2 linked regions of the Caenorhabditis elegans genome follow. The protein of the gene in region 2 interacts with the protein of the main gene of each other region in a biochemical or structural test. Each region holds a gene or a part of one and is shown on either strand. Other genes may lie near its edges. The genes, in order: cdk-1 and wrm-1.

Region 1 (4,084 bases), 4.0 Mb from region 2:
TCTTCTCGGTTACAGGCTGTTCAACCATTCTCTCGTGAATCCGGGCACGGTAGCTGCAAGTGGAAATTATAATGACAGCTGGAAAGTTAGAGAAATGTAATATCTTACTTTTGTTTTCGAATCAAAGTTCCGCTTTCAAAAGCTTGTTGCAACATTTTTCGATTTTCTCTAAAATTCAAATACTGCTCAAAATCCTTGTCTTCTGAAATTTCAGATATTCGAGAGAATGAATAAATATTAAACAATACCTTCCCGGTAATAGTTTAAAATATCTTTCCTAGACTGATTCTTCTCATAAAGATCAGCTTTGTCCATCAAAATAGAAACCTTCGAGTGATGAATGTAAATGTTCTAAACACAATTATTTTGATTTATTCTCTAAATTGTATTTAATCCTATATATAGGGATATATCCTACCGGTCCCAATTCTAATTGACGTGCAATTGGAGACCACGAACGATAAGTGAATCCCCAGTAAAGATCATCGAGGAATTCTACAATCGATGGGAAGAAGAAAATTGCAAGAATAATCTTAATAGCTCCAGTTAGATTAGTTTTCGTTACCTTAGCTTACGTGCGAAATGTTAGACAGAGAAATTACGAATATTGGAATCACTGCAGCGATCATTCTTCAGAATGGAAAAATAATAATAATGAATTCTTAATTCCCTATTCTCATTTACACGTTGAACAAAGTGCTTGAATAAAAAAGAGCATGAAAGTAGAGCGAATTTATTTATCGCGGTGTGAAAAAAGAGATTACTCATGAATATCGAAGGGCCAAATAATCATCGTACAGGTAAAAAGTTGAAATGGTGATAGTTAAACAATACACGGAAGACGATAGGTGGTTAAAGCACGGGAGAATAAATAATAAAAATGATGATGAATGAATTACATCAAAAGAGTTCGAGTTCTCCTCGGTAATTTCCAGCTGGCAGCTTTGACGTATCCATGTTGTCAAAATAAGGATGAACGAGAGCTTTTTTCGCGTTGAGACGAAGTGATGGATCGTAGATCAGCAAACCCTGAAAATATTATTTTACTTGTTAAAGTACTATTTTAGAAATCTTACTTCAAGAAGAGAGAATGCAGTATCGTCCAAAAGGTGCTTTCCAGTCTTCTTGTCGTAGAACTTGTCACGGAGGAAATTCTCACGCCATTTTGGGAACGTCGCCTTGTAGTCCGGAAGTGATTCAACACCATTCCATTCCAACTCAGTCGGTGTGCCGAGAACTCTGAAGATGCGGAACAGCTCATCAATTTCTGAATCTCCTTGAAACAGTGGCTTCTTCGTGGCCATTTCAGCAAAAATGCATCCAATCGACCACATGTCTACGCCCATCGAGTATCTCTGAGCACCCATCAGAATTTCTGGAGCTCTATACCAGAGAGTGACAACCTGAAAACCGGACAATCATTGTATTGGTGTACAGAATGAATGCAAACTCACTTCATGCGTGTAAACGCGAATCGGGATACCAATAGCTCTGGCAAGTCCGAAATCGGCAAGCTTGATTGCTCCATTGTTGTCGACCAGCAAGTTCTGTGGCTTAAGATCGCGATGAATAACACGACGCTGATGACAAAAACACATAGCTTGAAGAATCTGGAACAATTATTCTTGTAAAGACATCGATTTTAAATATTTCCTCACTTGGAATGTGTAACTTTTAAGAGTTTCGAGCGGAAGGTATTCATCTTTTCCCAACTGATCCATGTATCGTTTCAAGTCGAAAGACAGGAATTCGAAGATCAGGAAAAGCCGGTTCTCCTGCATAATGACCGCTTCCAATCCAACAACATTCGGATGCTGGAGCTCTTTGAGCAAGCTGATCTCTCGCACAGCCGTTGATGGAACACCCTATAAGAATTATTGTTTGAAAAAACGAAACTGCTACAAAATTCAAATACCTCATCTTCACTTTCCAATCTGATTTTCTTCATAGCAACCATGGCATTGGTTCTTCTGTTTTTGCCTTTGTAGACGACTCCGTATGTTCCTTCGCCGATTTTTTCGAGCTTCGTGAAATCGTTGAGTGTGTAAACCGAATCTCCCTCGTGGGCCACTTCTCCTTCGCGAATAGGATCCATAACTAAAATTGGAAATGAATTTTGTCAGAACAATTGTAATACAACGATAGAAAAGGCGTAAGCGTGTAATTTTGAATCATTTCCACTGCCGCCGAAAAGGGGGGACAGTCGGTGCGAGACCATTGCTTAGTGAAAAGGCATGCACCTTTGATGACAATTTATTCCGAAAAGGAGAGTACGCGCTGAGAAGGATTGTTGTGAAACATTGCATTCATATGATAAAATTTAACGCAAAACTGTGCAGAAAAGAGAATAAATACAGGCCGGAAAATATAAAAATAACTACTCAAAATAATCATAAACTTGATTTGTTCTACTTTATGAGGCTTCCAACAAAACTAAACAGAGTTTCAAAGAAAAATCGTAATCTTGGCTTCGGAGGGTGGATGGCGAGAGTTGCTGCCCCGAAGACCATAGAGAGGTAATTTTTATTATTTAATTTTACATGATGAAAGCGAAATTTGGCAAGTAAGCAACGAATGCATTTTTAGGAAATTATTTATTCAGATAAATCAAAAAATAGAGCAGATTCCTTGAAATCCTAAAAAAGTGAGGACTTCGATTCTGTCTGAAGATGGAAGTTGGCGCCAAATTTTTGGCTGCGTAGCGACTCATTCTTCATTGTGATACGCAGCCAAACAACGTCCTTTCAAAAAAATTCGCGCATTTGATTTTCTCTCGATTTCTATACTTTTCTCAGGTTTGTACAGTGTTTTTCTTGCTAAGATCAATATTTTATTAGAAATGCATCAAATTTCTCAATCAAAACAATTTTTTCCTGCAAACCTTTTTTTCCAAATTTATTTTTTGAATTTCTCGTTGGAAACTAGTTGAAAATGCTAAAATAATTGATAAATCTTTGTTGCAGTATGTCCGAAGATCATCACGACGAGGAGCAATTCGACTCTGCCGAGTCCGGAGCTGCTGCTACTTTCCCGAAGCAATGCTCGGCTCTTCGCAAGAACGAGCACGTCATGATCCGAGGAAGACCATGCAAGGTAAAAAATAATTCAGTGAATTTTCCTAATTAGAAATTTTTTAGATCGTCGAGATGAGCACCTCCAAGACTGGAAAGCACGGACATGCTAAGGTTCACATGGTTGCCATCGATATTTTCACCACCAAGAAGCTTGAGGATATCTGCCCATCCACCCACAACATGGACGTCCCAGTCGTCAAGAGACGCGAGTACATTGTAAGTTGTTAATTAGTTTTTAAGAAGGCTTTCAAAAAAATCAACTTTGGACGGTTAAACAAATCTTTTGAAAAATGAGTTAATCAGCTGTAAAAAATGTTATTGATCAAATTTTCAGCTCATGTCGATCGAAGACGGGTTCTGCTCGCTCATGGATCCAGAATCTTGCGAGCTCAAAGACGATCTCAAAATGCCAGAAGGAGACTTGGGAAACACTATCCGTGAGGCTCTCGAGAAAGACGAAGGAAGCGTCTTGGTAATTATTTCGACATCCACCTTTTGAATCTGAAAATTTTGATTTTCAGGTTCAAGTCGTTGCTGCCTGCGGAGAGGAGGCTATTCTCGGATACAAGATTTCTACCAAGGAATAATTGCATTTATATACAATTTCATAATAAAAGCAGTTCCAGTTTAATCATCCCGCTTTTTATACATCATTCGAAAAACATCGGGCAATGAACAAGTGCACCTCCGCTGGTGTTGTGTAATGTGGGTGTTTTATGTGTCGTGTTGATTGTGATATCTGCTCACCAAACGAAAATGAATTGCTTGCAAACCGCGGAGGTGACATCTGTCCATGGAGTGTTAAATCAGATTCAGTTGTCAGACTTTGTAATCACAGTTCCTAGTTTTTGGAACTACATGGCCTGTGCAGCTTTTCCACCCTTTGTACACTACACCTTATTGCTTATTGAGTTGACCCCAGGTTGGCCGCGTGCCAATAGAGCTGTTCACTTTAAAACGTGTCCTCCTCCGCGACCTGCGAGCACCCCCTTAACCACGATAATATCTAG
Region 2 (6,931 bases):
CTGAGCTAGGAGCCACTGCGCAAGATCCATGCTTCTGTATGCCAGTTTATGTGTGGTTCATCATGATGGCACTCATTCATTGTGCCATTCTGACCCTGCACATTTTGCTTGTCAAAAATTCGTAGCCGTGGTGGTATGTCTTTGAAGTGAGACCGCCTGTATGTATGTGACACGTGGCAATTTTTTTTCAATATTTCAGTTTCTTCTTGTCGGCTTATCCCTGTTCATCATTTGTGCCCCGAATACATTTTCCGTCTTTGCCCACTTCCTGCTTCAGATCTTATTTTGGGTATCCAGCGATCCTCTAAAAAAGTAACAAAATTTTACAATTTTTCAGACTGGCGCCATCTTTGCGCACTGCTACACGTTTTCGAATGGTGTGCACACAGTTGAAACTGGTGGTGATCGTGCTTGGCGCATTGCTTCCTTCATCTCATATCTGATCTCTTCTCTGATTTACATCATAATTTTTGTCCGTCTTCTTGTGTCTTCTAGATGAATCTTCTTGTGTCTTCTAGATTAAAGTCTAATAAATAATTCATATACACGATAGACGAAAAAAAAGGGCCCGTTATCAAATTGTCGAAAAGAGTTCGCACTTGTAATAGAACATGAGATAATTGAGAGATGGTTGGAGAAATGAAGTGAGCAACAAATAATACGGATAGATGGGAAAAAACTAATTAGATTGGGGAGTGATATGCTCCAAATACTGATAATGAGAACAACGAAATGAAGTGGGTATTTGATGTGAAACTACATAAGGGAACATGGGGATGGAATGAAGATAAATATATAATAGCACATGAATAAAACTGGAAGATCGATTTGATTGAGATTGTGTGTCTGTGCACCGGGAGTAGGGAATTCTGTACCCGCACAAAGATTCATTCACATTAGTTGTCGATGATGCTGCATTTGATGCTGTTGATGTTGTTGTGAAACTATTCTCTGCTGATGTCTACCAAGATCGATGATCTTTGACAACATAGTTTCTGAAATAGATCGTGAATTGTAAAAGGGAATTATGGGAATAAAAAATTTCATATTTCAGAATTTATAAAATTTCTAAACACGGTTGTAATTTTTTTTATCGCAGTGATAGAAATGAAGAGGCTTTTAATGTTCTGGAAGTAGCTAAATTTTGCGCCAAAAATACAGTACCCGGTCTCGACACGACAAGCTTTTGTTAAATGCAAAATGGTGTGCGCCTTTAAAAGTCCTGCATTATGAAATTTTAGTTTCTGCTGAATTTTCATAGATTGTTCATAGGTTTTCATAAATAATAATTCACAAAACCCCCAAATATTTCAATTGAAACGTATATTTTTTACAAAAAAAACTATTTATGAAAGCACATATTTGCATTCAACAAAAAGTTACCGTAATTCTTGGCGCAAAATTGAAAAATTTCGCGTTTGTGTATTTTAAAAATTCGTATTTTTTGTTAGTTTCTTCAGAAGTTAAAAACTCACGAATATTCGAATTCTGCCGACGAGCCTTGAGTTCCGCAAAGAATGCTTCAGTCATTTTTGCCTGTTCCAGGAATCTGTACATCATAAAAGTTTGCAGTGACTCGTCACGACTACAAATTGACAAAATGAATGCTAGCCACTCTTGCAGAATACCGTCACTCATCTCATGTGTCAGCCATTGGAAGGGGTTTAGCGTGCCATTTCTGGAATAAAATGAAATTAATTATTTCAATTGTGATTTTCAGTGTAAAAAACTTACGTCAATACTAGCTTCAAACTGTGGAAAAATCTTGGATTTGCCTGACTACAAAGATTCGTTAAAAGTCCCACAGATCGTTTTACAATATCTTCGTGATCTTTTCGTCTGTCATCTAATTCTCTTCTCTGCTCAGCACTTCTACCGTCACAATTCATCATTTCAACGCTCTGAAAATCAATTATAATTTATTTGTTTCTACGAATTTAATTTATAGCTTACAGTTTTCCGCCATTCGTCCAAACTCTGGAATGCTCTTTGAAGCAATAAAATTGGTAGTGGCTCATTTGTTGTTCCAAGTAGATCAACAAACGGATCAGCAAAAGCAGGAACCGTCTCAATGACACGTTTCATTACTGTCACCGCAAGTTTCCTGCACTTCCGATTTCCAACGTTAAAGTAATGAAGGAGCACATATGCGGAGTCGGCATTCTCACTGATCATTCTACACGCTGATACTGCAGATTCTTTGATATCTTGAGGTGCCATAGAAGTCACATTGTTCAATACGGATAGACAATTTTCATAAATCGACAGAATCTGCTTTCTATATAAATCTATATTGGCATCTGAAAAATAAGTAAATTAGAATTTCAGATTGAATATTTCAAAACTAACGTGGCTGATATGTAAACTGTTCAGATGTCCGAAGAACTGCGATCGCATGACTTGTAACTCCATCCTGCACCATAAATGCCTTGTTCATCTTGTTATGAAGTCCAATATTTCGTAGAGTTCCAGTCGCTAGCTCAACAATCGTTACATCCGAACATCCAATAAGTTGAACTATACAATGAATCGATTCTTTCATATCCTGCTCCTGGATCGCTGGCAAATCTGATACTCGTCTCAAACACTTCAGAAGTTCGTGAAGAAGTCGTGTTGATCCATGCGAAAGAAGACCGCACAAAACTTGTGCTCCACCCATTTGCACAAAATGTGTTCCATTCTTAACATCTCCACAGAATACGGTAAGAGCCTGCATCGTTGACCACAACAAATCCTCGTGGATCACTTCGTTCTGCATAATTTGATGAAAGAGGCTCACAACACCAAGACGTTCTGACATATCTTTGATAGTTGCATTTTTATTCGACAAATTCTTAATAATCGATACACAAAGTCCCTTATTCTTTGACTTCGTTTCCGGTCTTCTCAGGTTTCCAATTGCAAATTCAATTACTATTTTGTGAAGACGTCGATGTGCTGGTGACTGTTGAGTCTCATCTTCTCCAAAGAAAATCTTCATGAAATGAGGTTTACAACAAAGATGTACGAGCAGAACCATAGCACTGGACTCGAATTTCGTGTCAAGTTGAATGGCACGTGTCATCACGATCTCATAGATACTGTATGGCTTTGGTACATTGAACACAGGCGGCCCATTGGGATCCATTAATGCCGCATTCAGTCGGAAGAACATCCTGTCGATACGTCGGATTTCCTTGTTGGAGAGAAGAATTGAGTGGTGGAGAATTTCAAACGCTTTCCGGATTACCTACAAAAAATATGGAGTTGTCAAACGATATTTTAATACATCTATATATATTTTTTTTTTTTTTTGAAAGATTTTTTTAGATTTAGATTTTAGATTTTTAAACAATATTAGGCTGTAGGCATCCACTTAGGGATGACGATGTTCCTACCTACCATGAAAACCTTCAACGAACATTTATGCAAAACTTACATTCTCATTCTCAACTGGCCGAGGAATAAGAACTTGAAACAGAGCTCGAATAATCGGTTCGGCTCCTTTAGGTCCCCAGGTTTGCAACATTCCACCAGCTTTCACAATTGGCTCCAAAGCTCGAATCGCTGCTGCTTGATTGATTAGTTCCGTTGATTCCAGATTCTCAATAATCTCGGGAGCTGTCATCGGATACTGTCGATTCGTCGGATCCTGATTCTCGGAAACCTGCGATACACGTGTCAGTGCTCGCTGATATGGTGCCTGATTGACAAAATTGTTGAATTCACCCATTTCAGTGTTGACTGAGAGCATTGACAATCCACCGTACGAGTAGGCGGTCATTTCTGACATATTCGTCATGTGAGACATTGTGGAGCCGATCTGAAATTTGATTTTATTATCTGTTCAAGCCGCGGAATTCTTATAAAAATCTCTTACCACACTCGGAGGCCTCGAAAACCTTTGTTGTTGTCCTGCCATCTGCGGCGGTGCATAGGTACCCTGCATCCAAGCATTTGTGTATGATCGCTTTCCCACAGCAGCTTCCCGGAGTTCTTGCACCCGAGAATTGGACGGTTCCATGTTCTGAGGTTGAGCCTTGAACGGCGAACCTGAAAAATGAAATATGAATATGTGAAAAGAGGTATGTAATTTGAGGGAAGTTTCCAATGGGGAACACATAGACACACGAGACATACGAAAATGGAATGGGGGAAGTGATAAGGTGATGTGATTGGAGAGGGTCGAGAGAGAAAAGGGCGCGAAATGGCCTTTTGGAATATGTTATCGACCAGGAAATTCTTGGATTAATTGTTATGCAAACGAGTTTTTATTCAATCATTCTAGATCAGGGGTACGCGGTAATTGAGCCAGTGTGGCATGTTTTCAGTAGAAAATAATATTTGCTTTATCTGAAGATAACTTTTGTTTCAGTTTGAGAAATTGAAAAAAATTTTCGATGATTTGTCGAAAATTTTGTCGGGCAATTCTCAACTTTCAGACAATTTTCGGAGCACTTTTCAATTATTCCAGCTTAAATGAAAGTAATTCTCAGATTACAATAATTCTTTTCCGAATATTAAAAATCTTAAGCATAAATTGGCCGCTTTTAATCTTTTTTTCGAAGTAAAGCCAAAATTTCATATCTTTCTCACCTGAATATTGTCTGGCAGACATTGTAGAAGACGGCCGAACTGGTGTTGAAACTCTCGATGTTGACGGAGTCATCGGATTGAAATTCAGCGGAGTGCATGGTTGCGAGACTGAAATTTTATTGATTTTTTTAATAATTATTATTTCAAGGGGGAACCTACATGTTTCTGCGCAATCCACATCCATTTCAGATGGGTGGTTGCAGGTCCGTTGAGGAACCTGAAACTAAGCTAAAATGAGAAATTTCGATGTGAGAACCTGAGAAAACGCCATTGATGAGGGGAATAAAGGAAAGTAATCGGATGTGTGTGGAGATTTCACAAAAAAATGAAGAAGTTTCAAGAGAAGTTAAAAGAATTACGAACTTTTGGATTTGTGAGAATTGTATCTAATTCTTGCAGCAACTAGAAAATATTTTAAAAATTGTTTAATTTATGAGTTTTTTGAATCAAAGCAATAGTTTTTTTCTCAATTTTAATATAATTTACAGAAAAGTTTAAAAAATAATTTTTTTCATTTTAGAAAATAACTCAGAATGCTGTGCAAAAGTACAAAACCCCTTTCCTATTGTCTTTCGAGCAACTGCTATTCACACCTTCCAAGTCAAACATACTCAAGTGGACACTGAGCTTTTTTCAATATTGACAGACTTTTTGACACCTTATTCTATTTTTTTTTTTCGAATAGTCAGCCACTTGTAGAAAATTTTGAATTTCTGAAACATTGGTGAATGGATAATAAATGCAAAACGATCGGGGGTAACCAATAAATCAGTTCATATGGGTATATACTCTGTGGGGGGTCAACACTTGAATGCTGTTCAAACAGCAGGACGAACGGCCAGTTGCAAAATGTTTCGGGGAAATTTAATCCGAAAATAGCGGAGAGAAAATTATTCCTATTAAATACGTAACTCACAAAGTTTATCAGTAAGTTTTGCGATGAAAAAAAGATTTAAACTGATAAGAAGAATGGCATCGCCCGTCCGAGAGGAGTACACAGCCGGTGGCCTAGAAACCTCCGCGCCGCGAATCAATACATTTTGAATTCGATTGAAGCTTTCAATACTGAAAGTTAATCTAGTGAATAAATCAAAGAAAATGTGATGCCGTTGAGCAGGAAGTTTACTTCGAAAGGCCACACAAATGTTTTATGTGAAAATTTCTGGATTTGGGATTAAAGTTTTTTATTTAAATTTTAATCAAAACCTTGCGAGTTAGCTCGAAAAAAAGGAGAAGCATTGGCGAATGGATAATATGCACCTGCTCAGGCTGAAGGGAATCAGTGTGTACACGACTCGTAGAGAAAGAGACAACAACCAACTAGTAATCAATCAATTTGACCACATTATTAAATCATCAGGCGTGTCATCGGAGACAAAAATGTGACGAAGAAACATTTGAATCTATGACTTTGAGGATATCAAGTGAGGCGTGAGGATGAGAAGAAGGAAAAGAAAAAATGAAAGCCGGATTTAGGGGAATTGAAAATGAACCGGAAATTGGAAGAATCAAGAGCAGCGGCGAGGAAAAATCAATTTTAGAGAATTTAACATTTTTTTGTGAAATGCAAAACCTGTTTTTTTTTTCTTTTTGAAATTCTGCTAAATTTCAGTTTTAACAAAAAAAACTGATATTTCACTATTTCTGGCCGAAAATCTGCAAAATTCCTCAATTTTCACCTCTAAAAGTAGGGTTCAAGTCAAAAATTGCATTTTTCACATGATTTATGTTGATAAATCGGAAATTTTCAGCTTATTCGTGTTGTTGAAAATCAACTAACTTTGAGTTTTTTGTTTCAATATCGACAAATCGTGTTCTAAATGATTCCTGTGAATTCGGGTACAAATTTGAGAAATTTAAAACATAATTTGGCAAAAAATTTACGAAAAATACAGGAATTTTCAATGGAAATTAAAGGCAGAGAAATAGTCGAAAATTTTGCAGAAAAACCAAAAAAAAATTGGCAAATAAAAGCAACTGTTGCACCTGTTTCCCACGTTTTTCTCCCTATCGCTTCAGAAAACATCTGTCTCCATATGTTTGCATAAGCGTGAAGATTTCGAACGGAAGAACGTCGATTCAAGGACACTTTCTCAGTAAAACGGATTTGAAAGTGATGCCTTGATGACACAGTTTTTAAAATCCACACACCTACGGCTAATTGGGCAAAGTCGATAATTGGAGCAGCAGAGTAAAATCTATAGAAAAATAGAGTGGTGGGAAAGATGGTGTGGGTGAATGGTGGACAAGAAAGTGTACGAATGTGCCTGATGACAAACAGACCCAAGCAGAGGGTGAATGAATGACCAGGGGAAAGGTGCCCCGTGTGAGAAACGGTCCGATGAGATAGTATGCT

Evidence for each region.
Region 1: of the proteins of wrm-1 (region 2) and cdk-1, one has a biochemical effect on the other in vitro, tested with the Caenorhabditis elegans proteins (one study listed by BioGRID).

Annotation. Positions count from the first base shown.
Region 1 is NC_003281.10:9,745,485-9,749,568, reverse strand, and holds cdk-1 (Cyclin-dependent kinase 1), read right to left. Parts: upstream 2,098-4,084; 5' UTR 2,096-2,097; coding exon 1,916-2,095; intron 1,866-1,915; coding exon 1,659-1,865; intron 1,611-1,658; coding exon 1,455-1,610; intron 1,404-1,454; coding exon 1,077-1,403; intron 1,030-1,076; coding exon 901-1,029; 3' UTR 717-900; downstream 1-716. Other genes in the region: T05G5.4 (uncharacterized protein), read right to left, coding at 1-53, 109-202, 249-351, 419-532, 576-629; iff-1 (Eukaryotic translation initiation factor 5A-1), read left to right, coding at 2,416-2,516, 2,964-3,093, 3,138-3,290, 3,409-3,546, 3,596-3,661. UniProt on the Caenorhabditis elegans protein: Plays a key role in the control of the eukaryotic cell cycle. Required for entry into S-phase and mitosis. Acts as a component of the kinase complex that phosphorylates the repetitive C-terminus of RNA polymerase II.
Region 2 is NC_003281.10:5,720,711-5,727,641, reverse strand, and holds wrm-1 (Armadillo repeat-containing protein wrm-1), read right to left. Parts: upstream 4,793-6,931; 5' UTR 4,760-4,792; coding exon 4,735-4,759; intron 4,684-4,734; coding exon 4,576-4,683; intron 4,033-4,575; coding exon 3,860-4,032; intron 3,803-3,859; coding exon 3,419-3,802; intron 3,230-3,418; coding exon 2,350-3,229; intron 2,301-2,349; coding exon 1,954-2,300; intron 1,902-1,953; coding exon 1,735-1,901; intron 1,679-1,734; coding exon 1,476-1,678; intron 996-1,475; coding exon 892-995; 3' UTR 527-891; downstream 1-526. UniProt on the Caenorhabditis elegans protein: Antagonistic role in the Wnt signaling pathway that operates in embryogenesis. When located at the cortex it has been shown to inhibit Wnt signaling during asymmetric cell division but when relocated to the nucleus it shows positive regulation.